3 linked regions of the Callithrix jacchus genome follow. The protein of the gene in region 2 purifies or fractionates together with the protein of the main gene of each other region. This does not show direct contact. Links are inferred from orthologs where the notes say so. Each region holds a gene or a part of one and is shown on either strand. Other genes may lie near its edges.

Evidence for each region.
Region 1: the proteins of EEF1A2 (region 2) and VARS1 purify together in Homo sapiens (co-immunoprecipitation; 3 studies listed by BioGRID and IntAct, counting the BioPlex papers as one, with this or other methods). This does not show direct contact. The link is inferred for Callithrix jacchus from reciprocal best matches to the Homo sapiens genes EEF1A2 and VARS1.
Region 3: the proteins of EEF1A2 (region 2) and EEF1B2 purify together in Homo sapiens (co-immunoprecipitation; 4 studies listed by BioGRID and IntAct, counting the BioPlex papers as one, with this or other methods). This does not show direct contact. The link is inferred for Callithrix jacchus from reciprocal best matches to the Homo sapiens genes EEF1A2 and EEF1B2.

What each region holds. Positions count from the first base shown.
Region 1 is NC_133505.1:39,285,627-39,295,541, forward strand, and holds the end of VARS1 (valine--tRNA ligase), read right to left. Parts: intron 9,406-9,915; coding exon 9,241-9,405; intron 9,002-9,240; coding exon 8,920-9,001; intron 8,397-8,919; coding exon 8,277-8,396; intron 8,187-8,276; coding exon 8,078-8,186; intron 7,993-8,077; coding exon 7,898-7,992; intron 6,553-7,897; coding exon 6,462-6,552; intron 6,212-6,461; coding exon 6,087-6,211; intron 6,000-6,086; coding exon 5,896-5,999; intron 5,811-5,895; coding exon 5,652-5,810; intron 5,565-5,651; coding exon 5,474-5,564; intron 5,340-5,473; coding exon 5,234-5,339; intron 5,150-5,233; coding exon 5,079-5,149; intron 4,995-5,078; coding exon 4,869-4,994; intron 4,502-4,868; coding exon 4,397-4,501; intron 4,267-4,396; coding exon 4,198-4,266; intron 4,112-4,197; coding exon 4,033-4,111; intron 3,907-4,032; coding exon 3,779-3,906; intron 3,482-3,778; coding exon 3,326-3,481; intron 3,143-3,325; coding exon 2,936-3,142; intron 2,865-2,935; coding exon 2,753-2,864; and 6 more. Other genes in the region: VWA7 (von Willebrand factor A domain-containing protein 7), read right to left, coding at 1-77. UniProt on the Homo sapiens protein: Catalyzes the attachment of valine to tRNA(Val).
Region 2 is NC_133506.1:58,976,407-58,986,801, forward strand, and holds the start of EEF1A2 (elongation factor 1-alpha 2), read right to left. Parts: upstream 5,120-10,395; 5' UTR 4,823-5,119; intron 3,947-4,822; 5' UTR 3,877-3,946; coding exon 3,733-3,876; intron 2,164-3,732; coding exon 1,984-2,163; intron 1,076-1,983; coding exon 779-1,075; intron 1-778. UniProt on the Homo sapiens protein: Translation elongation factor that catalyzes the GTP-dependent binding of aminoacyl-tRNA (aa-tRNA) to the A-site of ribosomes during the elongation phase of protein synthesis.
Region 3 is NC_133507.1:127,553,487-127,563,997, reverse strand, and holds EEF1B2 (elongation factor 1-beta), read right to left. Parts: upstream 5,014-10,511; 5' UTR 4,954-5,013; intron 4,681-4,953; 5' UTR 4,659-4,680; coding exon 4,579-4,658; intron 4,083-4,578; coding exon 3,960-4,082; intron 3,328-3,959; coding exon 3,201-3,327; intron 2,699-3,200; exon of another isoform or gene 2,620-2,698; intron 2,534-2,619; coding exon 2,467-2,533; exon of another isoform or gene 2,221-2,466; intron 2,095-2,220; coding exon 1,969-2,094; intron 1,857-1,968; coding exon 1,702-1,856; 3' UTR 1,659-1,701; downstream 1-1,658. Other genes in the region: NDUFS1 (NADH-ubiquinone oxidoreductase 75 kDa subunit, mitochondrial), read left to right, coding at 9,708-9,768. UniProt on the Homo sapiens protein: Catalytic subunit of the guanine nucleotide exchange factor (GEF) (eEF1B subcomplex) of the eukaryotic elongation factor 1 complex (eEF1).

The sequences.
Region 1 (9,915 bases), on a different chromosome or scaffold from region 2:
GTGGGGGGCAGCAGCAGCTGCAGCAGAAGCAACGCTGAGGGGCCTGGGTGGGATTGGGGCACCTCCATGGGGAGCATGGCTGAGACATGGACCTGGGAAACAGAAGGCTCTCAAGGGAGGAGAAAGCAGCTGTGATTCCAAGGCAGGCTGGCTCTGCTGGTCTCCATGAGCACCAGCTTTACCTTAAGTCACATCTGCTCCAGCCTGGCTTCCCCGCCCTCTGCCCCCCGCCCGCCCCGTCACCCAGACAACCTGAGGGTCTCATCAGACCAATAGGGACATACACACCTGCCAGGAGAGGGGTCCAAGGCTCCTCCCCCAGGCGCCCCTCCCTAGTCGCTGGATGAATCCCCAGCACTGCCACAGAAACACTCCCCACACCCAGGAAGCCTGAGTCCTCTTGGGCCCTCCCCTACCTGGTTGCTGGGTCTCCTGGGCAGGGCTGGCCTGGGCGCGACGTCACAGGGCACTTAGGTCAGAGTTATAATTAACCAGGGCTCAGTGAAGGGGGAGGGAAGCCCCAGCATGGTAGGGGAGGACGGGCAACCCCAAGCCCCTCTGCTCATGCCTGCCCAAGGCCACAGGCAGCAGCCCACACCAGGACGGGCCTCCCTTGGCTGCAGTGTGGAGGTGAATGAGAGCTGGGGAGGAGGAAGGGAGCAAGCAGCGTGACTCAGACCTGGCCCAGCGCCAGGAACAGACCCAGAGAGACGCACCCCTCTATCCTCCAGGACCAGGGCCTCACTCCCACCCTGCAGCCACCAAAGATTCAGGAATCCAGGCCCTCTGCTCCCCTCTCTGCCCACCATAGATGACAAGAGGATTTTGTGGGAAAATATTTTATTGCTGCCACCCTGTGGTAAGCTGCTGGAGGTGAGGGGTGAAGCTGGGTGGTGGATCACAGCATCTTCTGGAATAGGGCGATGGCCTCATCCACCTTCCTGAGCTCTGCTTCTGTCTGTTGGAGCTGAAGTGGAACCAGGTGGGGGTGGGGTGAGGACCCAGGTCCAAGCAAAGGGACACCCACACGCCCAGAGCAAAGTTACAAAGATGAGCAAGGACCATGGGGGGTCAGTGGCTCAGAGGAGGCACGTGCTTGGCTGGCCAGGCTCCCCACCCATTCCCACCAGCATCCCCACTTCCACCTCTTGGGTCTTGCCTTTTTCCACCGAGTGGTCAGTCCCCAAGAACAAAGGAGACTCAGGGCATACATGCCCCCACCCATGGTCCCCACCTGAGTAGAGCACAGGCTCCCAGGAAGGTCACTTCATTTGTCAGATGAAGAGGATATTGACCCCCTCCCGAGGCTCTTGGGAGAACCATGTGAGATGAACTACTTCCACTCAAGGCTCTCTAGCTCTTGGCCTCCTGAGCTAGATGACTGGTTTTCTCTGTGTCTGTGCAGTTTACTCCACTGCCTCTCTCTGGCGGAACCCAGGAGGCAGGGGACAAATGAGACTGGCTTTCCAGGGTCAACCCAGGAGGCTTGAAAGTAAGTGGTGGGAAGTCCAGGGCTCCCTGACGCCATGCGGATCCCAAGCCCAGCCCAGGCCTGCAGGTTTCCATATTTCGGGGAGCAGGTGGGGAATGAAGGGTCTGGCTGGGAGACAGGATGCCTGGTTCTAGGTCGGCCTCCATCTCTGACCTGTTGTGTGACCCTGGGCTGTGACCAGCCCAGAGCTGTTCCCCATGTGTAAGGAGGGGCCATTCCATGGTTCCTGCTCATAAGGCCTGGGCTCCATTCTTCCCAGTGGATTCCGCAGGGTTGAGCACAGATTCCAGCTCCCAGACCAGGATTGGCTTTTGTTTTTGTTTTGCGGGTTGTTGTTTTTTTTGTTGTTTGTTTTTGTGTGTGTGTGTGACAGGGTCTTCTCTTTGTCGCCCAGGCTGGAGTGCAGTGGCACGACGCTGGCTCACTGCAGCCTTGGCCTCTCGGGCTCAAGCAATCCACCCACCTCAGCCTCCCGTGTAGCTGGGACCCCAGGTGTGTGCCACTATGGCCGGCTAATTTTTGTATTTTTGTTGTAGAGATAGGATTTCACCATGTTGGCTGGTCTCAAACTCCTGGGCTCAAGTGATCCACCCACCGCAGCCTCCCAAAATTCTGGGATTACAGGTATGAGCCACTGAGCTGGCCTGTTTTGTTTTTAAGGCTGGCAGGAGTGGAGAAGGAACAAAGAAATCTATAACTGGTTGTGATCAGTTACTTGTCAATACCACAGCCCTTGGACCAGCCCAGACCAAGGTTCTGATGGAGGAAGCGGATGGTGGAAATGCCCACCCATGCCACACACCTTGGCTTCATCTGCCTCCTGGACTTCAGGGGGCACCTTGACAGGGTAGCCTGAGGCAGCACGGCGTTCCCGCAGACGCTGGGCCTGCCGCTGTGCCTCAACTCTCTTGGCTTGCAGCTTGCTCAGCTCCCTCGCTGGGTCCACCAACCCCTGCAGCTGCAGGTGGATGGAGCAGCGATCAGAGGCCAGGGCTACAGCGCAACCCTGTGGGGCGGGAGCCCCCAGGGCCAGGACGGCCACCACACCTGCACTGGCCAGTGCCTGCACGTAGCCCGACACAGCTGACACCAAGGCACCCGTGGCCTCATCTGCCACTTCCAGGAAACCTGCAGGGGAGGGAGAAAGGTGAGGCCTGGCTCCGTGGAGACAGGAAACCAAGCAGCCACTGCTGGACACTGGGTCCCAGAGTAGGCTGAGGGGACAGTGGGATGGGGTGGACATCGGGGCCTGAGGCTCACAGTCAGGCCGGATCCGGGTGAGATTGTAGTCAGCCCGAAGGGAGCGCACAGCTCTCGTGATACTTAGCGCCAGCTCGAGGGCGGCTTCTGCCTCCGGGTCCTTCCAGGAGCACTGTGGGGTGGAGGAGGGGGTAAGGGGACCTGGAGGGCAGGCCAGACTCCCCTCTCCAGGCCAGGCCATACCTCCGAGGGCTCCGGGTATCGGGTAATGCAGAGGCTAGGGGGAGCTTGCGGCGTCCTCCGAGGCAGTCTCTGGAACAGCTCCTCTGTCACGAAGGGCATGAAAGGCGAGAGCAGGCGTAGGCCAACATCCAGGCAGGTGTACAGGGTCTGGCGGGCACACTCAGCTGCCACCTGGTCCGCCCCATTCAGTACAGGTTTGAGGCACTCCTAGGGGATTAGAAATACAGAACTCAAGGCTGGAAGTCTAGCCTTGAGCCCTGGCTGTGCCTGGGAGGACTGGGAAGGGGATGGATTGGCTTAGGTCTCAAAGCCAACTCTGGCAAAGCTGAGCCCAGGGCTCTGCTGTCCACCTGCCCCTGCCGTCCCCTGCCCCACTCTGCTCCTTCTCACCAAGTAGACGTCACAGAGCTCATAGAGCCAGAAGCTATACTGGGCAGTGGTGACGGCCGGGAAGTCGTAGGCCTGGAAGCCTTGGTTGCTGAGCCTCACAGCCTCTGTCAGGCGGCTGCGGATCCAGCGGTCCACCAGGCTCTCATGGCCTCCGGGCTTGGGGAGAGAGGGTGTATCAGCTGGTGCACCAGGGGAGGGTACCATAACCCCTTGGGAGCAGGAGTCATGGCCAAATCTTCACCCAAAGTCTGATGAGTCCAAAGTAATCATGTATGTGCCAGGATCTGGGGAGAAATGACAGGCCCCAGCCCCCAATGCCCTGGGCTTTCCAGAGCTTTCTAGAGCTCTAACTGTCTCTGTGTCTATCTGTCCCCCCAGCTACATGGAAGCCCCTCTGGACAGGGGTGCAGCCTGTGTGGGTGCTGCCAGCTTTGCTGCCCATCAGGCCCTTACCTGGGAGGTGGGTGAAGGCACAAAATCCTTCCCAAGACCACGGAGGGCAAATTTGGTGGCATTCCAGAGCTTGTTACAGAAGTGGCGGTAACCCAGTATCCGATTCACATCCAGGTTGATGTCACGACCTAGGTCAGGGGTGAGATGTAGTCCTCAGCATCCTCTTCCCAGCCCATGCCCACCAGAGGCTCAGGGTGGAGGACGGGATGGCCTCACGGAAGGAGTAGCCGGAAGGAAAGATTTGGGCGCCTTACCTTGGGACGTGTAGGCACATAATCCAAACCGGAGAGCATCGGTGCCACACTCGGGAATCCCCGCTGGGAAGTCAGCTTTCTACAGGGAAGAGGCAGGGGGAGGAGCATCCTCAGCCAGTCCCATCCACGCTGTGCTCCTGCTCAGCCCAGCTCAACCCTCCATACCTGCCCTTCCTTGGCCTTCTCCACCTCACTGGGATCAAGGTTGCTGTTCAGCAGCTGGTCATGGAGGCCCTGAGGTTGAAATGGGAGCAGTCAGGTGGCTGTGGCCACAGCCCTACAGCCCTTCCTGGCTGTCCCAGCACCCAGCCCACCTTGGCCACAGCCCTACAGCCCTTCCTGGCTGTCCCAGCACCCAGCCCACCTGCAGGGAGACTCCGTGGATGACATCCAGGGGATCGATGACATTGCCTAGAGACTTGCTCATCTTCCGACCATGAGCATCTCGCACAATGGCATGGAGGTAGACCTGCAGGGCAGGTGGGGAGGCCCGTGAGATGCAGTCACCTCATCCCCAGCCTCAGTGCCTGGCCAAGACTGTGTCTGGTCTACCCAACTATGAACCACAGGCCCCACTAAGTGTCCCCAAGAGCTCATTCAGCGCCTTTATGTGAATCAGAAGTACTCCCTCCTCTGGGAAGACGAAGCCCTGGGCTGGGGCACAGGAATCACTGAGCAGGGACCAGGCTGGATTTCAACCCCCACCAGCTCTCCGTCCACGCTGGCCCACAGCCAACCCCATGTCCCAGCCACTCGGGGCCCAAGTTGCAGCAGAGGAGGGCAGGAGAGGAGGCTGGAGGCTGGGGGCTGTGGGAGGGTCTTGGCTGTCTCCGCACCTCTCTAAAGGGCAGTCTGCCCGTGAGCTTCAGACCCAGCATGACCATCCGGGCCACCCAGAAGAAGAGGATGTCGTGACCAGTCTCCAGCAGTGTCCCAGGGTAGAACACACTCAGGTCTTCTGACTGAGGACAGACCGGGGTGTGAAGGGAAACCAACACCCCACCTCTAGTCCCCTGTCCCGCCCTGCCCTGGCCCCAGGAACTCACCTGGTTGGGCCAGCCCAAGATGGAAAAGGGGAAGAGGCCAGAGGAGAACCAGGTATCCAATACATCCTCATCTGAGACAGGCCAAAGGTTAGAGGTTAGAGGGAGTGGAGCTCTGCCCCCTCAACTCCCTCCAAACCCTCAAGGCCCTGCCTTGCCTTGCTGGAGACTTATCTTGTCAGGGGACACTCCGAACTCCTTGGCCGCCTTCTCCAGGGCCTCTGCCTCGTTTCGTCCACTCACCCAGTACCGCCCGTCAGGGTCCTGCCGCACGTGCAGTGATTACACAAGAGGGTGTGTCTGCTTCTGCCTCACCCTGCCCCTCCTCCCAACCAACGACCCAATAAACCCACCACTCCCCCAAGTGTCCCAGCATCCAGCTCTGGCCCTCTGCTCACCTCCCCAGGGGGCACTGCTGGGTCATTGACAATGACGAAGTATGCTGGGATGCGATGGCCCCACCACAGCTGCCTGGAAATGCACCAGTCCCTGCAAATGTGGGGGTGGGGAAATCAGAGAGGGCCTGGTGGAGCCCAGCCCAAGCCCTGCCCCTCCCACACGGAGGGCCCTACACACCGGATGTTGTCCATCCAGGCATGCCATGTGCGCTGATGGGCCTCAGGCAGGATGTGGAGGTCTCCCCGTGTCACGGCCGCACTGGCAGCCTGGGCCATCTCTCCGCAGCGCACGTACCACTGCGGCCGCAGCAGAGGCTCTACTACGTCCTTCGACCGGCTGCAGGTACACGTAGGTGAGAAGCCAGGAGGTGAAACCCTGAGGTGCCCTCCACCTCCCTCCCCTCCCTGGCCCCCACCCTCACTTGCAAAGTGGCACCACCATGGGGTTGTCCTCGATGCCACGGAACAGTCCCCGTTCCTTCAGCGCCACCAGCACTGCCTTCCTGGCCTCAAACCTGGGTAGGCCCTGGGTAGAAATAAGGCCTCATCATGGCAATGCCCAGCCACCCCTCCATCTCCCCGACCCGGGCACTCATGCCCCAGGCAACCTCACCAGGAAAGGCGGAGGCACGTTGACGAGGGCCCCCCGGGAGTCCATGATGCTGATGGCCTCCAGCCCATGCCGCTGCCCAACTTCATAGTCGTTTTGGTCATGTGCGGGGGTGATCTTCACAGCACCTGAGTATACATATGGGTGCCTGGGTCATGAGAGACTGCATGGAGTTCCTTCCTACACTCACCTCTTTTGCTGAAGGATATAGCTCTGAGACCACTTCTGGCCTCTACCTATCTAATACGGTCCCTTGAGAACCACCCCAAGCTCTGCCTATTTGGCTGAAGCTTATTTTCTTTTTATCTGAGAGAAGATGGACAGCTAGGGTGCAGCTCCAATCTCTTCCTCTCCCCACAGGACCAGCCCCTTGCCCACCTGTGCCAAATTCCATGTCAACAAATTCATCGAAGATAATGGGAAGGCTCCGAGACAGGAATGGGTGGATCACGTTCTTCCCCTTCAGGTGCTGGAAGCAGAAAAAGATATTAAAAAATGCATCAAGTGGGGTCAGGTGCCATGGTTCCCTCCTGTAATCCCAGTCCTTTGGGAGGCCGAGGTAGGCAGATCATGAGGTCAAGAGATGGAGATCATCCTGGCCAACATGGTGAAACCTCATCTCTCCTAAAAATACAAAAATGAGCTGGGCGTGGTGGCATATGCCTGTAGTCCCAGCTACTTGGGAGGCTGAGGTAGAATCACTTGAACCCAGGAGGCGGAGGTTGCACTGAACCAAGATCAAGCCATTGTACTCCAGCCAGGTGACAGAGTGGGACTCCATCTCAAAAAAAAAAAAAAAGGTTGTTGGCTGGGCGCGGTGGCTCGTGCCTATAATCCCAGCACTTCAGGAGGCCGAGGCAGGTGGATCACGAGGTCAAGAGATCGAGACCATCCTGGTCAACAAGGTGAAAACCCGTCTCTACTAAAAATACAAAAATTAGCTGGGCATGGTGGTGTGCGCCTGTAGTCCCAGCTACTCGGGAGGCTGAGGTAGGAGAATTGCTTGAACCCAGAAGGCGGAGGTTGCGGTGAGCCGAGATCGTGCCATTGCACTCCAGTCTGGGTAACAACAGCAAAACTCCGTCTCAAAAAAAAAAAAAGATTGTATAATGTGATTGTGGGGATTGTGGTACATCCCTATAGTCCCGGCTACTTGGGAGGCTGAGGCAGGAGAATCACTTGAACCCAGGAAGTGGAGGTTACAGTGAGATAGCGTCACTGTACTCCAGCCTGGCAACAGAGTGAAAATCTTTCTCAAAAACACAAAAACAAAAAATAAAAAAAGTTAGCCAGGTGTGGTGACGCGTGCCTGTAATCTCAGCTACTCTAGAGGCCGAGGCACCAGTACTGCTTAAACCTGGGAGGTGGAGGTTGCAGTGAGCCCAGATGGTGTCAGCTGCACTCCAGCCTGGGCAATAGAGTGAGACTCTTGTCTCAAAAAAAAAAAAAAAAAAATGCATGAAGGAGCCTAGCATAATGGCTCACATCTATAATCCCCACACTTTGGGAGGCTGAGGCAGGAGGCTTCCTTGAGGTCAGGAGTTCAAGACAAGCCTGGTTAACAGTGAGACCTTTAAAAATGCACTAATGGCTAGGCCCAAGTCCTTCTTTTCCAGGGCCCTGACTGTCCCAATACCTGAAAGCCCTCAAACAGTCCCCAGCAGCTCTCCCGTCACAGCTGGAAAGAAGCTAAGGTCAGTTTCTAACCCAGTTTCCTCTCCTCAGCAGGGGCCTCAGCCCAACCCCTCCACCCCAGTAAGTATGGGAGCCCTTTTTGGCCAGGATTCCTTCCCCAGCTGTGGACAGTCCCCCACCTGGTATCTGGTATCTTTGGGGTGCACAGCTATAGCCACATCTCCCAGCATTGTCTCAATCCGAGTTGTTGCCACCACCACCTCCTCGTCGCTATCTGGGGTGACAAAAGGCCTTGTGGTCTGGGCCCTGGCCCTTTACTGCCACTCCCAGCCCAGGATCCTGGTGCCCCTGGCTCCTACCTGAGCCTTGGACCTTATAGGCAAAGGACACGAGGACCCCAAACTCCACCTTTTCCTTGTAGCCAGGCACAGAGAGCAGGGTGCGGCCTGTCAACTCCTTCTTATCCACCTGTAAAATGGGTATTTACAGGCGTGGGCCAGGGGCCAGGGCCAGGGCCAGGGTAGATTGGAGATGGAGACAGGCCAGGTGGGGGCGCACCTCAATGTCAGAGATGGCGGAGTTGAGGGTGCAGGACCAGTTAACAAGGCGGGTACTGCGATAGATGACACCTTCCTCATGAAGCCGGACAAAAGCCTCTGTCACAGCTGCTGAGAGTTTCTGGAGTGGAGCAGGGAGAAGTCAGAGAGATGGGCCTTGTGTCTGGAGGCCCAGGCAGACAGCCAGAGGTCCAGTGAAGCCTGGCCCATACAGAGTCCCACTGGCCAGTACAAAGACCCCTCTGAAGGGAGTATTTTTCTTGAGGGGGAGAGGGGACTAAGGAAACACAAGAGCAGGCCACAAGTCTTGTGATGCTGCAGATGGCGGGGAAGACACTCAGCTGGGGACAAGTACTGCTGCAGAGGACCCCAGGGGTTCAGGCTCCATGGGAGGTGGGGTCCTGATCATGTGCAATCTGGAGGAATCTGGAGGTCCCAGAGCCGAGACAGGGAACAGGAAGGGCTACGACATAGAAAAGGCTATGGCAAGGGGTGGGAAGTGGTGATTGTAGCTGAGCCCTCCATGGTGTTTTATGTGGGCCACCTCCTGAGAGAGGGCTGCAGCACCTGTGCTCTCTTCTGTGGGGGTCCCACCCTGGGAAGCCTCCTACTCCTGCTCCAGCTTTGAGAACCCTCCCACGTACAGGGTCCATGGTGAAACAGGCTCGATCCCAGTCCAAGGAGCTGCCAAGCTTCTTCAACTGGTGGTAAATCCGGTCACCTTTCCTGGAAGTAGACAGACAGGCTGGTGCCAGCACTCATGCCTGGGCTGGAGGGAGACATCAGGTGGCTGATGGGGCAGCATGGAGCTCACTCATCCCACTGAAATTGACCTGGGCCCTAGAGACAACTGACTCTGCTTCTGAGGGTCTGACCCTCTGGCCAGGGGTTACAGGTGACAGAGGTCTTCTGGATAGCAGACAGGAGGCAGGCCTGCGATGCCCACAGGAATGCTGCATACTCACTCCTCCTTCCATTTCCAGACCTCCTGTAGAAAGGCCTCGCGGCCCAGCTGGTGCCGGCTCAGCCCCTGCTCACGCCATAGTTTCTTCTCCACTACCACCTGAGTGGCAATGCCTGCGTGGTCACAGCCAGGGTTCCAGAGGGTGGTCTCCCCACGCATGCGGTGCCTGTTATGGGGCATGGAGGACCAGAGAGTGAGCCAGGCCAGTGGAGCCTAGCACCAAAGGAAGCAGAGGCTTCAGGCAGGGAGTCAATGGACTCTAAAGAAGCAGGGAGGCCAGGCGTGGTGGCTCAAGCCTGTAATCCCAGCACTTTGGGATGCTGAGGTGGGTGGATCACCTGAGGTTGGAATTCAAGACCAGCCTGGCCAACATAGCAAAACCCTGTCTACCAAAAATACAAAAATTTCCAGGCATAGTGGTGCATGCCAGTAATCCCAGCTACTTGGAAGGCTGAAGCATGAGAATTGCTTGAAACCGGGGAGGTAGCGGTTACAGTGAGCTGAGATTGTGCCACTGCTCTCCATCCTGGGTGAGAGTGAGACTCTGTCTCAAAAAAAAAGAACAAAGAGGAGGCTCCTGTCAAACAGGATAGCAAAAGTTCTAATTGTTGAAATAAGTTACTAAATAGGAAGAAAATGGTATCTGGAAATAGATACAAGTCGATTTAGTATTTGT
Region 2 (10,395 bases):
GGAGATGGAGGTGGGGCTGGGGCAATCCCTGTCAGCTGTCCCCAGACCTCAGCTCTGGGCTCTGCTGCTGGTCTCAGTCTCCCCGCTGTTTCTACTCTCACGCCGGCACCCTCACTGTGGGCAACTACCGCACTGGTAGAGCCCAATGGCAGCCATTCTGAGGTGTCCCCTGGCTTGGAGAACCCTCGGAACACAGTCTCAGGTTCTGAAAGTGTCCACTCATCACCTCCAGCCAAGGCGGAGTACCTGAGCCACAGGCTGCTCGCACAGTGAGCGGCCAACTGACCAGCCAAGAGCCAACTGTTGGCCCTCCCCGTCAGCCCAGAAGACTGCACACTTCCCAAAGCCCAACTGTGCTCCAAAACCTCGGGGAGGCAGCCAGGGAGCCCCCCATGGCCCAGCCCACAACCCCTGCACGGTGTCCAGGGTCAGGACAAAGGCCTGGCAGAGATGAAACCGAGCACCCCCATGGCAGGGTCCTGGAGACCAAGCTCATGGGCCTGGTGCTGGAGGCCGCTGCCCCTGCAGCGCTGACGTGGGGGACCGGCCCTGGCCAGCCTCGTGGGAGGCTGAGTGGAGGAGCAACACTCAGTGCTGAGGGGGATGGGGCTCCCCGCTGGGCCCTGAGCCAGTTAGGGAAACCCAGCAGGTTTTGTGGGGAACCTGCATGTCCCAGGAACAGGCTCTCAACCTCCCCCTGCCACCTACAGCTGCCTTGCTCTGGGACAAGGGGTCTGGCCAGCCCCCACGGCCCACCCCGCCCCAGTCAGCCACTCACGTTGGGTGAGGGCTCCAGCATGTTGTCACCGTGCCAGCCGGAGATGGGCACGAAGGGCACGGTGGCTGGGTTGTAGCCGATCTTCTTGATGTAGGCGCTGACCTCCTTGACAATCTCATCATAGCGCTTCTCACTGTAGGCCGGCTCCGTGGAGTCCATCTTGTTCACACCCACAATGAGCTGCTTCACGCCCAGTGTGTAGGCCAGCAGGGCATGCTCCCGAGTCTGCCCATTCTTGGAGATGCCCGCCTCGAACTCACCCACGCCCGCCGCCACGATCAGGACTGCACAGTCCGCCTGTCCAGTGGAGGACACAGTGAGCCCGGCCCCACCTGCCCGCTGGGGGACACAGTGAGCCTGGCTTCACCTGCCCAGCAGGCAAAAATGCAGTGAGCCCGGCCCCACCTGCCCAGCAGGGAACACAGTGAGCCCAGCTTCACCTGCCCAGCGGGGGACACAGTGAGCCCAGCTTCACCTGCCCAGCAGGGGATGCAGTGATCCCAGCCCCACCTGCCCGGCAGGGGATGGAGACAGCCCAGCTTCACCTCACTCCCAGGTTTATTCAGGCAGTGGGCTGGGATCTGAGCAGCCCGCTGGGGCCTTGGGGAAGGAGACATGGGGGTCCCTACTTCAAGGGCAGTTCGAGGGCCTCATCACCAGGCCTTGGGTCAGGGGACCGAGGTTCAGCCCCGGCTTCACCACCAATGGGCTTTGTGCCCCTGGACAAGTCACTGCACCTCTCTGGTCCTGTTCCTCACTTGAGGACAGACTGAGGTCATAGTTCTCAAAGCAGTTTGGAGGTGGTGGTGTGCGTCCTGCCATCTGCAGGATGCTGTGTCTGGGGTGTCTGTGCGTCTCTGTGAGTGCTCCAAAATGTCACAGTCCAGGCCTGGCTGGTGGCACCTCTGCCCACTGCTCAGGATCCCCATCTTGGCCTTGAGCCCCTCTGTCTATGAACGTGGGTCCATGTCCACATCTGCCCGTCTACCTGGGGACTCTGACACTGGCCAGGTGTCCTCACAAGCACTGGATTTGTTCTTAGGGGGCTCTGACCCAGGATGGATGAGGGTGGCACAATGAGGGGTCCCCTGCCCTCACAGGAAGTACAGGAGTCCCAGCCAACCCAGGGTGACCCCAGGGGACCCCAGTCTCTTTGAAGGGTGTAGCGGCCGCTCCCCCAGCCTCAGCTGCTGTGCCCTGCTCACCTGGGACGTGCCTGTGATCATGTTCTTGATGAAGTCTCGGTGGCCGGGGGCATCAATGATGGTGATGTAGTACTTGGTGGTCTCGAACTTCCAGAGGGAGATGTCGATGGTGATGCCACGCTCGCGCTCTGCCTTCAGCTTGTCCAGCACCCAGGCATATTTGAAGGATCCCTTCCCCATCTGGAGCAGGTGGGGGTCACGGCTGAGGGCGGGACCCGGGACCCAAGTCCCTGGCAGCGGGAGCTGCTTGTCACCGCCCAGCAGGCAGGAGAGACGGGAGATGGGGTCCAGCACTCCCTTGCTCCCCGCCAGGGTCCTGGGTCGCCAGCCCCCTCTGACCCACACCCAGACCCTGCCCCCTAGGGCCGGCCTCTCCACCGGCTCCTAAATGGGCGCGGCCACGCACGTCCACCAGCAGGTGGCGTGAGGGCCTGGGAGTCACTTCATCTCGGAACGAAGTCGCCAGATGGGATAAACCCCTCCCTGGCGAGGGCTCCCCTTTATCTGAAGCTGTGTATGCCCCCAGATCCCTTCCTCAGCCAGAGGCCAATAATACCACCATGTCTAGGGCTGTCAGATAAATAACCCTCTGTGTTATTTGTTTAAAGGTAGGAGAAAGGAAAGTGGAATGAGGTCAGGAGGAGGGCCTGGCCATACAGCTCCTTCCTGCTGCTCCAGCCTCCCGGTCCCTCTGAGGCTTCCCCTCCCCTTCCTCTCTCTGCCAAACAGGGGAAGCTGGGGGGCCTCACCCAGTGGGACCCCCACAGCTGGGGATGGGCTGTGGTCAGGGCAGCAGCTTCGGTCACTACCCAGGTGGGCACCAGTCACTACTCAGCCGGGCAGAGCTCCCCTCCAGAGCCTCAAAGAGACAGGACTCTGCCCTCCAAGAGGCTGCCCAGCCTGAAGGGGACCCAGATGAAACCCAGCTGGGGCCTGAACCAGGAGCCCTCCGAAACCCCCACCTCCTCCCAATGAGGCCAGGTAAAGAATGATGCAGGTTCCTGGCCCAAACGGGTGCAGCTCAGAGCGCCCCAACCCCCAGGACAGAGACTCAGCCCAGGACAGCGACTGCCCTCCTGGGCTCTGGCCTCCCACTCATCATCCAGGTGAGAGCTCCCACAGGCCCTCCCAGAAGTGCGGTTCTCCCCAGAGCCCTGAGCGGGGGGGCGGGGGCACAGAACAGATCCCTACTCATGGCTGCCCCCCACCACCATCTCAGCCACGAAAGAGGAGCTGCTTCAGAAGGTCAGCCAGAGGGCCGCCCCATTCAGGACCCCCACCCCAGGGCCGCCCCAGACAGCAGCCTCCACAGCCCAGCAAAGAAAATGGAGCAGACGGGCCGGCTGCCCATCACTCAGCTATTAATAGCAGTGTGCGTCCTGGCAGGGCCCTGGGACAAGTGAGGGCAGCACCACCCCCAGCCCCAGCCTTGGCCCTGGGGAGAAGGGGGCAAGGCTCCAGGGTCCTCAGCCCCAGCCCAAGTGGGCTGCAGACCCTCCCAGGCCACCTCCCTCACCACAGGGCAAGACTGGCAGTTCGATGGTCACCCCTCCCCCACCAAGCTCCCCCCAAGAGATGCTGCCCCACCGGCCCCTCTGAGGCCTGAGTGCCCCACAGCGGGGGTCCCTCCTGCCCCGGAGGAGGTAACCTGAGCCACATGGCCTGGGGCTGGGGAGATGCCAAGCCTGGCTACCTTGGGAGTTGGGGGGCTCCTTCTCAGGGGGCAAAGAGAAGAGCCCCCATGCTCACCTCGGCTGCCTCCTTCTCAAACTTCTCAATGGTCCTCTTGTCAATGCCCCCGCACTTGTAGATGAGGTGGCCCGTGGTGGTGGACTTGCCGGAGTCCACGTGGCCAATGACCACGATGTTGATGTGGGTTTTCTCCTTACCCATTCTGCTGGAGTGTGAGGGGCTGGCGGGACCCGGGGTGCTCTGGCTCAGGGTGAGGGGGGCTGCAGTGTTTCTGTGGGGCCAGTGGTGGGGGGAGACAGGTGGTGAGGAGCCTCGGGGAGACCCACAGAGACTGTCCTGGCCAGGCTGGGCCCACGTCCCTGCCCACAAACCAAACCCCCATGTTTGGTGGGGAGAGAAGAGTCCCCCCACCACCCTGCTGGACCTGGCAGGGGCCAATAGAGGCTGTACCCTGCCCCCACCCCACACGGGAGCCCCAACAGCCCCATCTGCTGTAAATAACTGGGCACTGGAGCCCTCCACCCATCCTTGCGAAGGGGTTAGCCTTCGTTCTGGAGGGACCACGCAGCGCCCAGCTGGGTGCGCCCATGACCAGCAGAGCTGGGTGATGAGTCACCTGCCCAGTGCTCCAGGGCCCTGTCCTCCATGCTCCCCTCCCTGGGCAGGGCCAGGGACACTGTACCCCACCCCCACCCACTGCCACCCAGAGAGATGGCCACTGCTCCCCACTCCCCTCCTCAGGCAGGGAGGGCGCCATCTTCCCCTCATCCCTGCCTGGCAGGCTGGACCAAAGCCCCGATGGAGATGCACTGCCCAGATTAGGGACCCAGAAGAGCTCGATGCCCCCCCCCAACACTCTCACAGGGGCAGACAGTGGCCAGGAGGTGGGGGTCCCTGTTCCAGCCAGAGGAGGGAGGACCCTGCCCAGCTAATCCCAGAAAATGCCAGGTGGAGATGCCCTCAGCCCCGTGGGGGCATGGGGGGACCCTCCCTACCGTTCTCTCTGGTCAGAGCCCTGGGTCACAGCCCCGTCCCATTGCAGAGGTCAGTGGGGAAACCCACACTGCCCCTCGGGGACAGGTGGCTGGGGGAGGGAAACCCTGGGGTGGAAACACGGGTGGGGGTGGGGAGGGCCCCCAGGTCTCACCAGGTCCCTCAGCGTCCTCTGGCCCAGCGCCCCGGGCCCGCAGGGTCCCCGCGGCCCCAAGGTCAAGGCTACAGGGCGATCGCAGCCCAGGACCCGGCCTGCCGCCCCCAACCCCCGCCCCGGCACAGCTCGGCCAAGGCGGGGTCCCCCAAGAGCCGGAATCCGGGCGCGCGGGGTGGGTGCGGGGCCCGGCCGCCCTCTGCGCACAGGACCAGTCCCGGGGGGGCCCTCAGCGTTTGGCGGGGGCGGGGCGGGGGCCAAGCGTCCTTACCCGGAGCCGAGGTCTCAGCCAGAGGGACTGACGGCGCCGGCGCGGCGGTTTTATCTCCGGGAGGGGGTCCACCTATTGACGGTGGCGGCGCAGTGCACCGCGCCCTGCAGCACGGCAATGCGGAACGCGCGGGGGGCGGGGCGGGGCGCGGACGCGGACGCGCGCGGGCGGGGGCGGGGACGCGGGGGGATGCGGGAGGTGCGGGCCGCGAGGACGCACGCGGGAGGCCGAGGAGGAGCGCGCGGCGGCTGCGCGGGAGGATGGAGGCCTGGAGGCGGCGAGGGTAGCGCGCGGCGGCCCGGGAGGCGGGGCCGGGGAGCAGGTGCACTGCAGCCCGGGAGGCCGGCCTGGGTCTACCGGCTGCTCCAGGCCCTGCTCTTGGGGGTTGCCCAGGGCCCAGGGGCTCTTCCTAATGAGGTCCGGGGCTCAGGCCTCAGGGTAGAACCCTTAGGGTAGAATCTGCTGGTTTCCAGCCCCTGTCCTCATGCGCCTGCCCTCCTGGACGCACTCTGATAGGCCAGAGGCTCTGCCGGCAGATTCAGCCCAAAACCACCCTCCCCCTGAGACCCTGGTCTCCCACCATGCAGGGAACGCTGGAAGCCCGCTCCCAGACCCAGGGACATCCTCCAGAGACACTCCCTCCCCGTGCACCTACCTCCAGCCGCTGCTGGGAAACAGTGCCAGCCAAGGGCCTGACTCAGGTCCAGACACCCAGGCCCCCTGCGCAGCACCCCACCTGGCTGCACCCCAGTGCCTACAGCTGATCCTCATATGAGATCAGGATGCCAAAGACCCGGCCACACTCTGTCGAAAGTGGGGAGTCCCTGAGGTCCTGGGCACACGGGTAATGCCAGCATGGGTAGTGAGGAGGGGATGTGGCCCAGTGTGGACTGTGAGGAGGGGACGTGGCCACCATGTGTTGCATGAAGACCAGGATCAGGGACTTTCTCCCAGACCCCGAGACTGTGTCACCTCACCCAGGTGTTCAAGTCTACCCTCCCACACTGCCCCGCCCCCGACTCGGATCTTCCTGCCAGCGCAGTTTCAGGAGGGGTGTGCTGAGTGGGGGCAGAGCCCGGGCACTTGTCCTCTCAGCCCTGAGTGCCCACTGGGTGCAGACATGGAGGCACCAGGTCCAGCCTAGCACCTGCCGCTGGGCAAAGCCATGGGGATCCCAGAGCCCAGACCCCTGCCTGGCCCACTGGCAGGTGTGAGGAAGAAGGAAAGGCAGGGGCCCAGGGTAGTGGCTGGGGCTAAGCAGTTCTCCCCAGCCAGTGGAGAGGGCCTCTCAGAAGGACACTGGTCTGTGGCTGCATCACCCCATAGGAGTCCAGGGCCACAGGCAGGAGGGGAGTCAGGGAGGGCTGCCAGATGCCCCAGCACTTCTGAGTGCTGCTGATGCCATCGAACAGGAGCCAGAAATAAAAATAACCGCCTGGCGAGAAAGCAAAGCCCACCCCACCCCACCCAGCTGGTCTCTATATTTATCTCCTCCCCTGCAGCCGAAGGTTAGGCTGGGATTTGGGGGCGGGCTTGCTGCAGGTGTTCCACTGGCCCCGGCTGGGGCGGATCACACTGGGCAGGAGGCTGGGATCCCTAGGATGCCCACCCGACTCCCCCAAGGACCACCAGGACTCTAGGCTACCTTTTCCAGACACCCCTCCCCCCGGCTCCTGGCTCACCCACAGCAGTGCTGGGAGCTCACATGTGCTGAGGGGGTCTTGCCACCCACAGGAGTGGCCCCTGAGAGTGGAAAGTGGCAACCTGCCCACAGCACCTGTGTGCTCACTCTGGGTAAGGGTCTCTTGGGTGCCAGGACACGTTTGGTCCACAGTGCTGCCCTTCAGGGTCCTAAGAGCTGCCCACCCAGTACCCAGAGACACTTGGAACACACAGCTGACGGAGCTGCAGTCACCAGGCTGAATGCCAACACTGATTGTCTGAGCCACCACATAGACTGAGTAGTGCTGAAGGACCACTAACCACGGAACGCTCACTGCTGAATAACTGCCGTGGTCTGACCACGTCCCCAGAGTTGGAAACTTAATCCCCAGTGTGACAGTGTTGGGGGCTGGTGCTTTGGGAAGGTGTTTGGGTTATAAAGGGTTTGCCCTATAAACAGGGCTCATGGCAATGGGTTCTCTTGCTCTTCCACCTTCTCCCACCTGAAGACACAGCAGATGCCGGCACCTTGACCCTGCACTTCCCAGACTCCAGACTCCAAACTTCTGTTTACTTATAATAAGCAGAATTTATAAATTTATAAAGTTTTATAATTACCCAGTCTCAGGTTCTGTCACAGCAGAACAAGCAGGCAAAAGCTTTGTCAGCAGCTGGGTAGCAGCAAATGACTTCGAATACAAGCCTCCTAACCAGCCACAGCCAACTCGCCCAGCTGTGCGAGTTCACAGCGTACAGGGGACAGGGACCAGGGCTGTTCGTGTGCACAGTGTATGGGGGTGGAAGCTGCAGGGACTGAGGCCACGAGGCAGGCCCCGCAAGGCTGTCGGAGGACACTGAGAACCTGTGAGGCAGCTGGGCACAGAGGCCAAGATTCCTGTCCAAAGCCACACAGCAAGTAAGGGGCTCAGGAGGCCTGAGCCAGGCCAGCATGGCTTCCACATGGAAGTCTGGGGCCCACCCTGGCCATGGCCTGTGCTTTTCCTGCCCTCCCCCAGGTCACGTCTTGGGCCCCTCTTCCTGCATCTGAGTCCCTGGTCACAGTACCTCCCTTACCAACAGCCTGGGGGGCGGGCAGGGGGATGGCGAGCCGAGAGGGCACCAGCCAATCAGGGCTTCTCTGGGCGAGGCCCCGCCCCTCCTCGCCCCCTCCCAGAGCCCCCAGGACCATCCCTGAGTTGTCTGGGGAGACACAGGCAACCCCTCCCTTGGCTGGCTAGGGTTTCACGAGCCTTGGGAAAGAAGATGCAGCTAAAATTAACCGCTCTCAAGCTGTCAGCCCCGGAAATAAACCTGCCTCCCATTGGCTGCTGGTGACGCCACTGCCGGGTTAATAATAGCCTCCGAGTGCCTGACAAGCCACCTGTGCATGGGGCACAGCCAGGCTATCACCCCAGGACCACCGCCACAGGCAGGTGGAGGCTGGCGGCCCACAGGCTGACGGGGGCGTGGTGGCAGGGTGGGGAGCAGGGCCAAGGCGGCTCTCCGGCCCCCAGGGTCTCAGGATGACCTCAGCCCTGGCCTGGCCCCAGCGCAGATGTGGATTCAGCTCCTGGTCACAGAGCATCTCACCTGCTACCCCACCTGGGTCCCCAGATGGCCACCAGGACAAGGTCCTCCCCCGTGGCCATGCCTTAGGGCTGGCTCCCAGGGGACTGGGCATGCCCTGGAGGCAGGGAATGAAACAGTCTCCATGGCAGCAGAGGAGCTCCTGCGTCTGGAGCCTCCCTTCAAGGAGCAGCTCACATCCCCCAGATCAGAGGCGCTGGGGCTGAGCTGGCAGTGGGCAGCATGCCTGCAGGCCAGGCCGCAGACCCGGGCCAGCCACAGCCCCGACAGCCCACCCTACAACCAGTGTGTGGGTGTGCCTGAGGCAGGCCTGGGTCTACCAGGGAGGCCCAGGAGGGATGTAGCCCCTCGGAGAGGGGGAAGGGTGACCTGGCCTGCCACCCCCACCTGCAGGGCCCAGCTGGGAATGTTGCCATGGTGAGCGGCAGCAGAGGGAGGCCCCTCCCTCCAGGCCCTGCTGCCAGGGAGCCCAGCATCCACCGCGGTGGGGAGCAACCAGCACGCACTCCTGCGGCAAACAGCACTTCCTGGGCTTCTGGGCTTCCAGCTGCAATGCCCCCAGCCCCTCCCGGCCCCTGGCTGTTACAGCCCATTACAGGCTGGCAGGCTAAACAGAGGCCAGGGTCACTGACCAGCATGGGGTCACCTCTTAGATCCAAGAAGGGCAGCAGCTGGGGCCGGTGCAGGGGTGCCATGCCCTCCAGTGCCCAGAGATAGAGGGGAGAATGTGGTTAGGCTCTGCAGACCACCAGCCCCACAGCTGCCTCCTCTGGGCCCTGGAGAAAGAGAGGCCATTGTGTCTCATTCTGCAGCTGGTCTAGAGAGAATGGGGGATCCAGCATCTGTGGTCAGGTCTGTAGAGAATGGGGTGTCCAGTGCCTGTGGTCAGGTCCGAGGGAATGGGGGGTCCAGTGTCTGCAGTCAGGTCCAGAGAGATTGGGGGGGTCCAGCCTCTGTGGTCATATCTGGAGAGAATGGGGGTTCTGGCACCTGTGGTAAGGTCCAAGGGAATGGGAGATCCAGCGTCTGTGGTCAGATCCGAGGGAATGGGGAATCCAGCATCTGTGGTCGGGTCTGGAGGGAATGGGGGGTCCAGTGTCTGCAGTCAGGTCCAGAGAGATTGAGGGGGTCCAGCCTCTGTGGTCAGATCTGGAGAGAATGGGGGGTCTGGCGCCTGTGGTCAGATCCAAGGGAATGGGGGGGTCCAGTGTCTGTGGTCAGGTCTGCAGAGAATGAGGGGTGCAGCCTCTGTGGTCAAGTCTGGAGAGAATGGTGGAACTGGTGTCTGTGGTCAATTCCAGAGGGAATGGGGTGTCCAGTGCCTGTGATCAGGTTCGGAGAGAGAGGCGCGTCTGGCGTCTGTGGTCAGGTCCAGAGAGAAAGGGGGGTCTGGCGTCTATGGTCAGGGCCCCCTCAAGGACCCACTGAGAGCAGAGCTTTCTTCCTCTGGCCCCGCCTGAGGTCCCATCTCTCCTGTGCACCTGCACCAGGTTCAAGGGGGAATCTCTCAAGGTGGGGAAATTTCCCTGGGGAACCTGAAACTCATTAGCAACTCTGGAGGTCCTGTGTTCACCCCTCTGAATAACCCTGCCCTCAATGAGACAGCTGGGAATCTTATCAAGGGAATAACTGGCTTCGTGAGCCTGACTGCACCTTGGGGATGAGCCTCCCAAGGCCACCGCCCACCATCACCTACGAGAGAGAGACTCAGAGCCTCCCCACCCCTGGAGGGACCTCCCCACACCACCAGGAGCTGAGCGGCTGGGCCAGTGCAGGAGGAAAGGCAGGGGGACACCGAAGGAACCTCTGCCTGTTTAAAGACGAGGCTTTTTTGAGCATGAATAGAGAAAAGTGACACCTTGCAAAGGTGCCTGCTGAGTTACCACCAGAACACACCCAGCCCAGGAAAGGACATTCCCTCCTGCTCCTCAGTAAAGGTGAGTGCTGACACCAGGATCACATTTGCCTGTTGTTCAACTTCACATAAAGGGAACGCAATGCACAGTACGTAGCCTTTCGTCTGGTTCTTTCACACACATTTCACTGTGTCTGT
Region 3 (10,511 bases), on a different chromosome or scaffold from region 2:
ACTTTTAGGCTGTGTTGGTTGGACTATAAACATTGCTTAGAGATATTATTCAATGCATGCATCTGTTAAATCCTCTTTATAATACAGTTTTCCACAGTTAAGGCAGTTACAACATAATATCAGATTGAGAGGAAATAGCATTGTCTAGTTCTTTTTTTTTTGACAGAGTCTCGCCCTATCGCCCCAGCTAATTTTTGTATTTTTAGTATAGATGGGGTTTTGCCATGTTGGCCAGGCTGGTCTCTCAACTCCTGACCTTGTGATCCACCCATCTCGGCCTCCCAAACTGCTGGGATTGCAGGTGTGAGCCACCACACACTGTCTAGATCTATTAAAAAATTGACCTAAAAATTTTTGATCATTTGAGATCAGCAATTCCCAAGCACTAGTTTTGTAAAACTACCGTAAAAAAAACGCCCTATCAAACGTTAGCCAGACCCCAAATTCACTGTCAAAATGAAGCTGTTTCCAATGCTTATCACTTTACTCAAATTACTACCCTCATCCCAGTATTTACCTGCAGCATGAGGACATCAGATTTCCAAATCCAAGTAAAATACTCCACGCCCACAATCAAGCAGCTATGAATTATCACAGGAAAGTGAAGTTTATCTGGGAAGCCTGGGAACCAGCTAGCTATATAATCCCCTCCTAGCACACAGTGTTACTCCAAATCACATTCCCAACTCTTAAAAGATGATTTCTTTACAACATGAGTCATTATTTTAAATTTGTAAACTTTTAAGTAGTTGTTTAATTCATGCCAAATTCTGGGAAGCCCTCCCTCCTCTGGGTTAGGTGTCTTCTAGCAGTGTCACACGTTATATCTTCAACTAAGATTTGCAATCATTGCTTTCCAGCCAACGACTGATCCCAATGCGAAGATGCTGGGTTACAATAAATCACGTCATCAGGCATTGCTAAGGACATCACAAGCGGGTAAAGTTGCACTACAATTTTTTTTTTTTTTTTTCGAGACAGGGCCTTGCTCTGGCACCTAGGCCAGAGTAGCGGCACAACCTCACCTCGCTGCAGCTTCAACCACCTGGGCTCAAGCAATCCTCCCACCTCAAGCTCCCAAATAGCTGGGAATATAGGGTTGGGTGCACCACCATGCTCAGCTAAGTGTTCTATTTTTTGTAGGGTCAGGGTCTCTCCATATTGCTCAGGCTGGTATCGACCCACCCACTTCAGCCTCCCAAAGTGCTGGGATTACAGGCATAAACCCCCACGCCCAGCCTGCACTACCATTTTTATTTTTTTATTTTATTTATTTATTTTTTGAGACGGAGTTTCGCTGTTGTTACCCAGACTGGAGTGCAATGGCACAATCTCGGCTCACCGCAACCTCCGCCTTCTGGGTTCAAGCAATTCTCCTGCCTCAGCCTCCCGAGTAGCTGGGACTACAGGCGCATGCCACCATGCCCAGCTAATTTTTGTATTTTTAGCAGAGACGGGGTTTTACCTTCTTGACCAAGATGGTCTCGATCTTTTGACCTCGTGATCCACTGCACCTGGCCTGCACTACCATTTTTTAACAACAATGCTGAACCAAATTTTTATTATTTAGGAATCCCATATTCATTTAATTCCTTCCCTCAAAATGAAAGGAATATACACACCACCCCTCTATATAACATACTCAAAAGCCATAGGTAATCTTTCAAGCTTTTATTTAAATGCCATGATCCAGGATGGATTTTAGATCTTGTTGAAAGCAGCAACATCCATGGACTGGACATAGTCCTCAAAAGCAGTGATCTGCTCCTCCAGCATATCTGTTCCAACTTTATCATCTTCAACTACACATTGTATTTGAAGTTTCTTAATTCCATATCCCACCGGAACTAGTTTAGCTAAAAAGAGCATTAAGAAAAATCTTAGTTAGAAAAGTCCTGTAGAGAAAGAACTGAAGCTGTATGAAAATTCCAGATGTCAGTTAAAAAAAAAAGCAATGCCTAAACTCACATGAGCCCCAGACTAAGCCGTCTGCTTGAATGCTTCTGACACACTCTTCTAATTTTGCCATATCTGTCTCATCATCCCAAGGTTTCACATCCAGTAAGATGGAAGACTTGGCAACAAGTGCAGGTTCTAAAAAACAAACAGCATTATTCAAATAATGAATTACATTTTTTTCACCCTACTCTAAGACACAAACAAATCATCTCAATTTGTTTTGAGAGCGACTATCTCCTTAGTCGAAACAACGGATACATCTTGTGTCTGTCACACATATGCCCACTTTCTGTTTTGCTAAGAAAGAGGTGTTTAATTGTGTTAACAGTTTCTTTCCCACAGAGGAATGCCACAACTGCTACCGTAAGAACAGCTGCAGACCAGTAGCTGTGGAAGAACACCTACAGGAGGTTTTCAACATTAACCTATTCAAGGAATGTGAAGGAAATTACTTCAAGGACGACTCTGAAAAACATTACTTACATTATTATGAAATAAATGACCTACTTTTGGCTTTCTTTGATTCATATTGTGCAAGACGTTCTTCCCTTAGCCTCTTCGCTTCTTCACTTTCCTGTAAAAAAGAAAAAAATTAATCCATTTTTTCAGAAAGCCACTTGTTCCTCTGCTTAAAACTAGTGGGGTCATCACAAAAAAGACTGGCCTTATCAGAAAAAAGCAAATACATCACGAACTCAGCCGAAAGATGGTGATTTGATTTTATTCATCATGCAACCAGTCAGAATTGAGAAAGGCATATAAATCAAAACCAGGATTCAAATCCAGGCAATCTGGTTTATCCACACTGATAAATTGCCGATCAGTGTGTGTGTGTGTGTGTGTGTGTGTGTGTGTGTTTGAGACAGAGTCTCACCAGGCAATTTGGTTTATCCACACTGATAAATTGCCGATCTGTGTGTGTGTGTGTGTGTGTGTGTGTGTGTGTGTGTGTTTGAGAGAGTCTCACTCTGTTACCCAGGCTGGAGCACCATCATAGCTCCTTGCAACCTCCACCTTCTGGGTTCAAGTAATTCTCTGCCTCAGATGGAATTACAGGTGCCTGCCACCACACCTGGCTAATTTTTTTTGTATTTTTAGTAGAGATGGGGTTTCACCAACTTGGCCAGGCTGTTCTTAACTTCTGACCTCATGACCCACCCACCTCAGCCTCCCAAATTGCTGGGATTACAGGCGTGAGCTACTGCGCCCAGCCGATGTATTCTTTATAGAAGATGCCATACCTCCTCATCATCAGATCCGAAGAGATCAATGTCATCATCATCTTTACTATCTGTAGCTCCACTTCCTGTAGTGTCTTCCACATCCACAGGACCATACTTGCCCAAAGCTTTCTTCACTCCTGGCAGGCTTGAAAAACATTTAAATTCAACCACTACTGAGCTAGTATAACAACCTTTTCCAGACAATACAAAATAACTTGTTTCAATCACTATTTATCACTAGATCCCTTTTGCAATAACTTACCCTTTCACATACTCCCAGGTAAACACTGTCATATGTTCGACTGGTCACTCGACAAACATTAGTCCCATGTGAGACAGGATTTTCAATACTCACTACGATTTACTCTTTCAGTATACACATTTCTGTTTGAAATTTCATTAAGTATGCTCAGTTCCATTCTTAGTGAAATGCAGTCCACTTCCCCAAACTTCCACCCTTGTTGGCAGTTTCAGAAGAATGGCCAAGGACTGAATGAATGAGCCACCCTCTCACCCCAGAGGTGGGCCCCCCAGGTCAGGGTCGAGGCACATTGGCAGGGCAGTGTGGGGAAAAGCTGAATTGCTGTTGTCCATGTTCTACCTGTTCTGTGAAAAAATGGAGGACTTCAGTCTCTTGGCCTTCTAAGGTTACTGAAAAATTTAGCTCATAATATCCCAACAAAGCTAAAGTAGCCTGGGTCCAGTTTTGTCATGTGAACATCCTGATTAACTTCGAGAGCAGCCTTATTGCTCAGCTAGACACAAAGATGATTTTACCTGGCCTTTTCCTTTTCATAGGACTTGATGTGATTATACCAACGTAGGGCATGACACAAGTCGGCAGGCGGTGGGCCGGACACTGCTTCAAATACTGCCACATCTGCTTGTGATGGCACATACCTGCCAATGACACAGAAACGTTCATACACACCTTTGAAAGACAAACGCCAGCGAAAATAATGCTGTATGCATCACATTAATTAGTGGGCACTAGCCCCGGCAGGGGTGCTTTAATGATTTTTTTTTTTCTTATCAGCTCCTTAAAATCAAACCATCCTTGGGTCGCCACGTTATCCTGAGAAATGTCTTCCCACTTAGTAGACCTCAACGATTGCAATCTCTAGCATTGCTCTATCTACAGTCCAATATTTTACTAACTGGGCAGCGACACGGCGACACCTGGCTGAATTAAGTGTAAATAAAGTACATTTCAACCTTTTACTGCTAGTGAACCGCTCCCCGGAGCCCGGGCTCGCACCACACGCGGGCCTTGGGAGATGGCAAGGAGAGGCGCTAACCCTTCATCCTCCCTCCCTCCCGGGGCAACCGACGCTGCCCCACGTGGCCCCGGGTCCGACCAGCCTCCTCACCATCCCGTCTCGGCCCGTCCGCTCACCCCTCGATGTAGCTCTTGTCCGCCAGGTAGTCGTTGAGCACCTGGAGGCCGGCGGGGCTTTTCAGGTCTCCGAAACCCATGACGTCTGCTGTATCAAGAGAGCTGGGGAGCAGCAGAGAGACAGAGCATACGCTTACAGCACCCCGCGCTCAAAGAGAAAAAAGGGCCTAGAGAGGCCGGAAAATTCCTTATATAGAGACGGAGGCGTTTCCCTCCACCGATCCCGACCAAAGGTTAAAGGTCAAAGTACGTTGGCATTCTCACTTCTCCACGTACGAATTGGGGGCCCTAAATTAAGTGGCCCACAAATTGTCCCTGGACCCTTCGTTGCGTTTGGAAATAAATTAATAAAATTGGCATGTTTTAAATTCGAACCTCCACAGCTCCGGAAGATAACGAGAACCACCCCTTGAAACGCCGGAGATGACCAAAGACGCTCGGCCACGGGGCTACAGGCCACTTCCGGCGGAACTGCGGGTCCAAGTTGTCCTTCCCGCCTCCCTGCTGGGCCGACCTCCGCTCCGCCCTCGGGTCGGCTGACGGAAATTGCCGACAGACTTGTCGAATGCGAGGATTCTAGTCCCTCCGGGCTTTCCGTTCTCCAGGCCCGGGTGACAGAGTTAGCTGAGGCCGCCATATTAAGTGAGCGACCCGGTCTCCGAAGGGTCGTTGTGGTCCGGACAGTTTAGCAAACAGCCTTCGCGGCTCCGGGGAGAAGGTGAGGTCTTGTATGGATGGGAAGGGTGAGGTGCGTCTCGGCCAGGGGTTTATTTCTTGACGGGACTGTTTCCTTTGGCCCACGCGACTTATTCTTCTCTTGTCCTTGACTGGGGCGCCGCCTCCCGCTCCGCAGCCTCAGAAGCCCCTGAGAACCGGCATGTGGGGGCTTTTAGCCACGGAGTCTGGTCTGATGAAGCAGAAAGGAAGAGGAGGATCAGGGGACACTTGGGAACGCTGGCCCGAATGCACGCTTGCAGGCGACCTTTCCTCTGCAGTGAAAATTCAGGACATTGCCCTCTCAGAGGAGGAGGACGTTTTGTTCCCCAGGAGAGAACTAGTGTCCGATGACTTAGGCGTTAAGACCGAGCCTGTCCCCCCAGATTTCCACACAGCTGGTACAGTGCCTGATTGTTTAGTCGCTGTTGCGTTTTCGTTCACGCCTCTGTTTGTTGATTTTGTTTTGTCCATTGACCACGTTGGACAGCATTTTATTCCTTTCACTGGCGGGGAAATTGAGAAAAAGGACTTTTGAAAAGTTAGCCCAGGATTGCATTGCGAATAACAAAACGTTGTTTACACGTTCTTGGGATCTAATGCTTATACTGTAAGATCTTGAATCAGGCACAACGCTTCACACACGAATTGACAGTATAGAAGTGTAACGGTAACTTTTGATAAGTAAACAGTTATTTTTGTTTTGCGGAATACTCTTGTTTTCACCGAGTTAAGGCTGCCAGAGCACCTGCACTTTTTAAATCCGGGGAAGTGCTCTGTGCAAGTTACGGCCAGAAATTAGAGATTCAGTTCACTTAACAGTTATTGAACATTTACGAGCCAAGAATACGTTCGTAAAGAAGAATAAAATAGGTGATATGACTGGGGAATCGTCAGGAAGTGTTAGATAGGCTGGACAGTGAAAATCTCCTTGAGAGAAAGTTTTTAAGCCAAGATGTGAAGGATGAGGAGTGGCCCGAAAGATGAGAGGGAAAAGCATTTCAGTCTGAGGTTACAGCGGTGGCAAGAGGGGAGGGGCTGTGTGGGAACAGTGTGGAAGTTTGGTGACCTGTTAAGAAGCTATTGAAATACTCCAGGCAAGGAATGATGGTGGATTGGGATAGGGTATACCTTGGATGGATGCAGGATCCATGTTGGAGAACGTGGAATAGTATGGCCCCTATACGGAAAGTTATCCAGTCCAGTATTAGAAATGATTGGTCATTAGCATTTTTCCATCTACAGAGACAAATATTTCTGTTACTACTTGGTATGTTGGTGTTCAATGCACATATGGAAGTGTTGCAAATCTGTGTTTCTTACGTTGGTCTATGCTTTGATGTTAGTGTCAACAGCCTAGTTCTAGTTGATGTCCTATCTAAAGTGAGTACTATTGTTATATCGTATTTTAAATAGTATTAAAGTTTTAAAATTGAATGAAATACTCATTGTTGATTTCAAATCTGTCAATGCTCTAATGCAGCAAGTTTTGGTTTACAATATACATATGCCATCAGTTTTTAATAGGACAGATGCTACTCATTTCTAGAACTTGGTGATACCGTGTTAGGTCTTCAGGAAGGGAAATATGCAAACTCTGTCCTCAAGGAGCTTACAGTCTGATAGGTACTAAAATTGATTACTAACCTACAGTTTAGTAAGTGGAATGATAAAAATAAATATGCAGTGTGTACTGGTACTAAAGAAAAGGCACAAAGAGCCCTTTAAAACTGATTGTCGGTGGGCTGTGGTGGTTCACACCTGTAATCCCAGCACTTTGGGAGGCCAAGGTGGGTGGATCGCCTGAGGTCAAAAGTTCAAGACCAGCCTGGCCGACTTGGCCAACCTTGTCTCAACTAAAAATACAAAAATTAGCCAGGCATGGTGGCAGGTGCCTGTAATCCCAGCTGCTTGGAAGGCACAGGTTGCAGTGAGCTGATATCATGCCATTGCACTCCAATCTGGGTGACAGAGCGAGACTCTTGTCTCAAAGAAAAAAAAAAGCCACACAGAAACTTATTGTCAGTGGCCACCAGTACTGCCTAAGTTGAATTCAGCTTTAACTGGCATTTATTGAGCTCCTACTAATAGCTCATAGTCTAGGAAGTACTGTTTTCCTCCTGCCTTGTAAGTAAAGAACCAGTAACTGATTTACCAAAAATTACTCGCTAGCAGGAAACAGAGTTGATGTTTGCAAATTCAGTATCACATATTCTTAATTAACGAAATGTTGAATTAATGACATTTCCTGTTGTACATCATCTGTGATAAGTGTGCAGAATTTTGTGCTTAAAACCAATGTATATGCACTGTTATCCAATAATACTGTTGCAAGTATTGAAACTTTACTGTCGAAATTTTTTTTTAATACATTCTAATCATATAATTTGCTGCTTCCTTTTTTGCTTGTTTGTTTTTTGTTGTTTGAGACAGGATCTTATTCTGTCTCCCAGGCTGGAATGCAGTGGCATGATTAAAGCTCATTGTAACCTTGAACACCTGGGCTCAAGCCATCCTCCCAGGTCAGCCTCCTGAGGAGCTGGGACTAAAGGTTCATGCCACCACACCCATCTCTTTTTTTTGCAGAGATGGAATCCTGCTGTGTTGCCCAGGCTGATCTCAAACTCCTCGAGGTGGCATCCCAAAGTGTTGAGACTACAGGCATGATGCCACCTCATCTGGCCAATTTGCATTTTTAATACCTTTAGAAGTTCCAAGTGATTTTGCTTAACCTATATGATCAAGCAAACAGGCAAAAAGGTCAGTGCTTACCCTATGTGATCAAGTAAAAAAAAAAAAAAACCAACAAGTTTAGAAGTTTTGGTAACTTGGATGGGCATGGTGGCTCATGCCTGTAATTCTAGCACTTTGGGAGGCTGAGGCGGGTGGGTCACATGAGGTCCGGAGTTTGAGACCAGCCTGGCCACCATGGTGAAACCCCATCTCTACTAAAAATACAAAAATGTTCTGGGCAAAGTGAATCACACCTGTAATCCCAGCACTTTGGGAGGCTGAGGCAGGCTGATCACCTGAGGTCAGGAGTCCAAGACCAGCCTGGCCAACGTGGAGAAACCCCGTCCTACTAAAAATACAAAAATTTGCCGGGGTGGTGGTAGGAGCCTGTAAATCCCAGCTACTTGGGAGGCTGAGACAGGAGAATCACTTGAACCTGGAAGGCAGAGGTTGCAGTGAGTTGAGATCACACCACTGCACTCCTGGGTGACAGCGAGACTCCCTCTCAAAAATAAATACATAAATAAATAATAAAAATGCAAAAATTAGCCTGGTGTGGTTGTGCACACCTGTGGTCCCAGCTACTCAGGAGGCTGAGGCAGAAAAATGCTTGAACCTAGGAGGCAGACATTGCAGTGAGCTGAGACTGCACCACTGCACTCCAGCCTGGGCAACAGAGTAAAACTCCGTCTCAAAAAAAAGAAAAAGTTTCGGTAACTTTTCTTTCTGTTTGTGTTGTTTGTCTTTGAGTCATGGTGTTTATGTAATCCACCCCCATTTATTTCAGTAATTCAGTAAGCCTTTTGGCGCAGTGTCTCAACTTCAGCACTATTGATACTTTGGATAATTCTTTATTGTGGAGGACTATCCTGTACATTGTAGGATGTTTAGCCGGCACCCTGCCCTCTATCCACTAGATGCTGGTAACTTCCCCCTGTTTGTGACAGCAGTGTCTTCAGACGTTGCTAAATACTCCCTGGGGAGCAAAATTGTCCCCAGTTGAGAACTGTTGTTTAGGAGCTTACTCTGTGCCATCCTGTTGGATAGGTACTGAAGATAGAAAAATCAAAGAGTTAATGCAATGAGGGCAGAATGGGCTTATAAACACATAATTGGAAATCTGTAAGACAAGTGTATCAGAAAATAGCACTCAAGACACCTCAAAGGCTTGGGCTGGCAAGCTATCTCAGAAAATGTCAGGAGCCTTTAGTAGACAGCTATGCTTGGAACATGAAATAATAGAATGGGTATTGGTAGGAAATGAAAGCAGAAAAGTAGACCTTATTTTACATAACCATTAGTGATAAGCTCACTGTTAGTCTTGTAGTTTATTTTACTGTGTGGTAGTGTTTTAAGTTTGATCCTTTCTAAATAATTTTTTTAAATGACAAAACTCCTCTCTGCATAGAATTAGGAAAGTGCAAATGTATACAATAGCTGTTGCTGCTTAGCTCTTTGACGTTGTACAAGTCTATGTCTCTGAGACTAAGAATTCTCATCTACAGACTTTAAGGGAAAAAATCAGAACCTATGAATGTTCAGCGACATAATGTATGTGAAATACTTTAAAGCCATAAACATTACCAGCGACATAATGTATGTGAAATACTTTAAAGCCATAAACATTACCAAACAGTTTTTTCCATTACAATAATATAATTCTTTGTTTTATTTTTAGCAATATGTTAAGGACACCTCTAAGAAAGGCCTTAGTAGGCCTTTCTAAGTCTCCTAAAGGATGTGGTGAGTATTTTTTTTTAATTTGCATTCATGGTTATTATACCTTATTTTTGTAAATTTATAAGTCTATGGAATATATATATATATATATATATATATATATATTTTAGTCCCAGATGGCTATAAAAAGTCTACAGAATATTTTATCAAAGACCCTAAACCCATAATTTTAAAAAATAAAAATAGAAACAGACCAGGCGCAGTTACTCATGCCTGTAATCCCAGAACTTTGGAAGGCCGAGGCACGTGGATCGCCAGGAATTCAAAACAAGCCTAGCCAACATGGTGAAACCCCATCTCTACTAAAAATACAAAAATCAGCTGGGCATGGTGGCGCACGCCTGTAATCCCAGCTACTCGGGATGCTGAAGCACAAGTCGCTTGAACTTGGGAGGTGGAGGTTGCACAGAGCCAGGATCACACCACTGCACTCCAGCCTGGGCAACAAAGGGAGACTCCATCTCACATACACACAAAAGAAACAAATGATCTAAGTTGAATAATTTTCAAAATACAATTTTACTTTAAACAGTTTATTGGAATTGTGGAATGGAAAGTATTAGGAACTACACACATCAATGCCAAAGTGGAAAAATCATATTCTGTTTTCGAAAAGTGATCTTCCCATGAATATTTTCAGTGGTATTAACAGTTTCAGTTTAAAGTTCAGCGCCGTGGCCCATGCCTGTAATCCCAACACTTTTGGAGGCCTAGGTGGGAGAATTACTTTAACCTGAGAGGTCAGG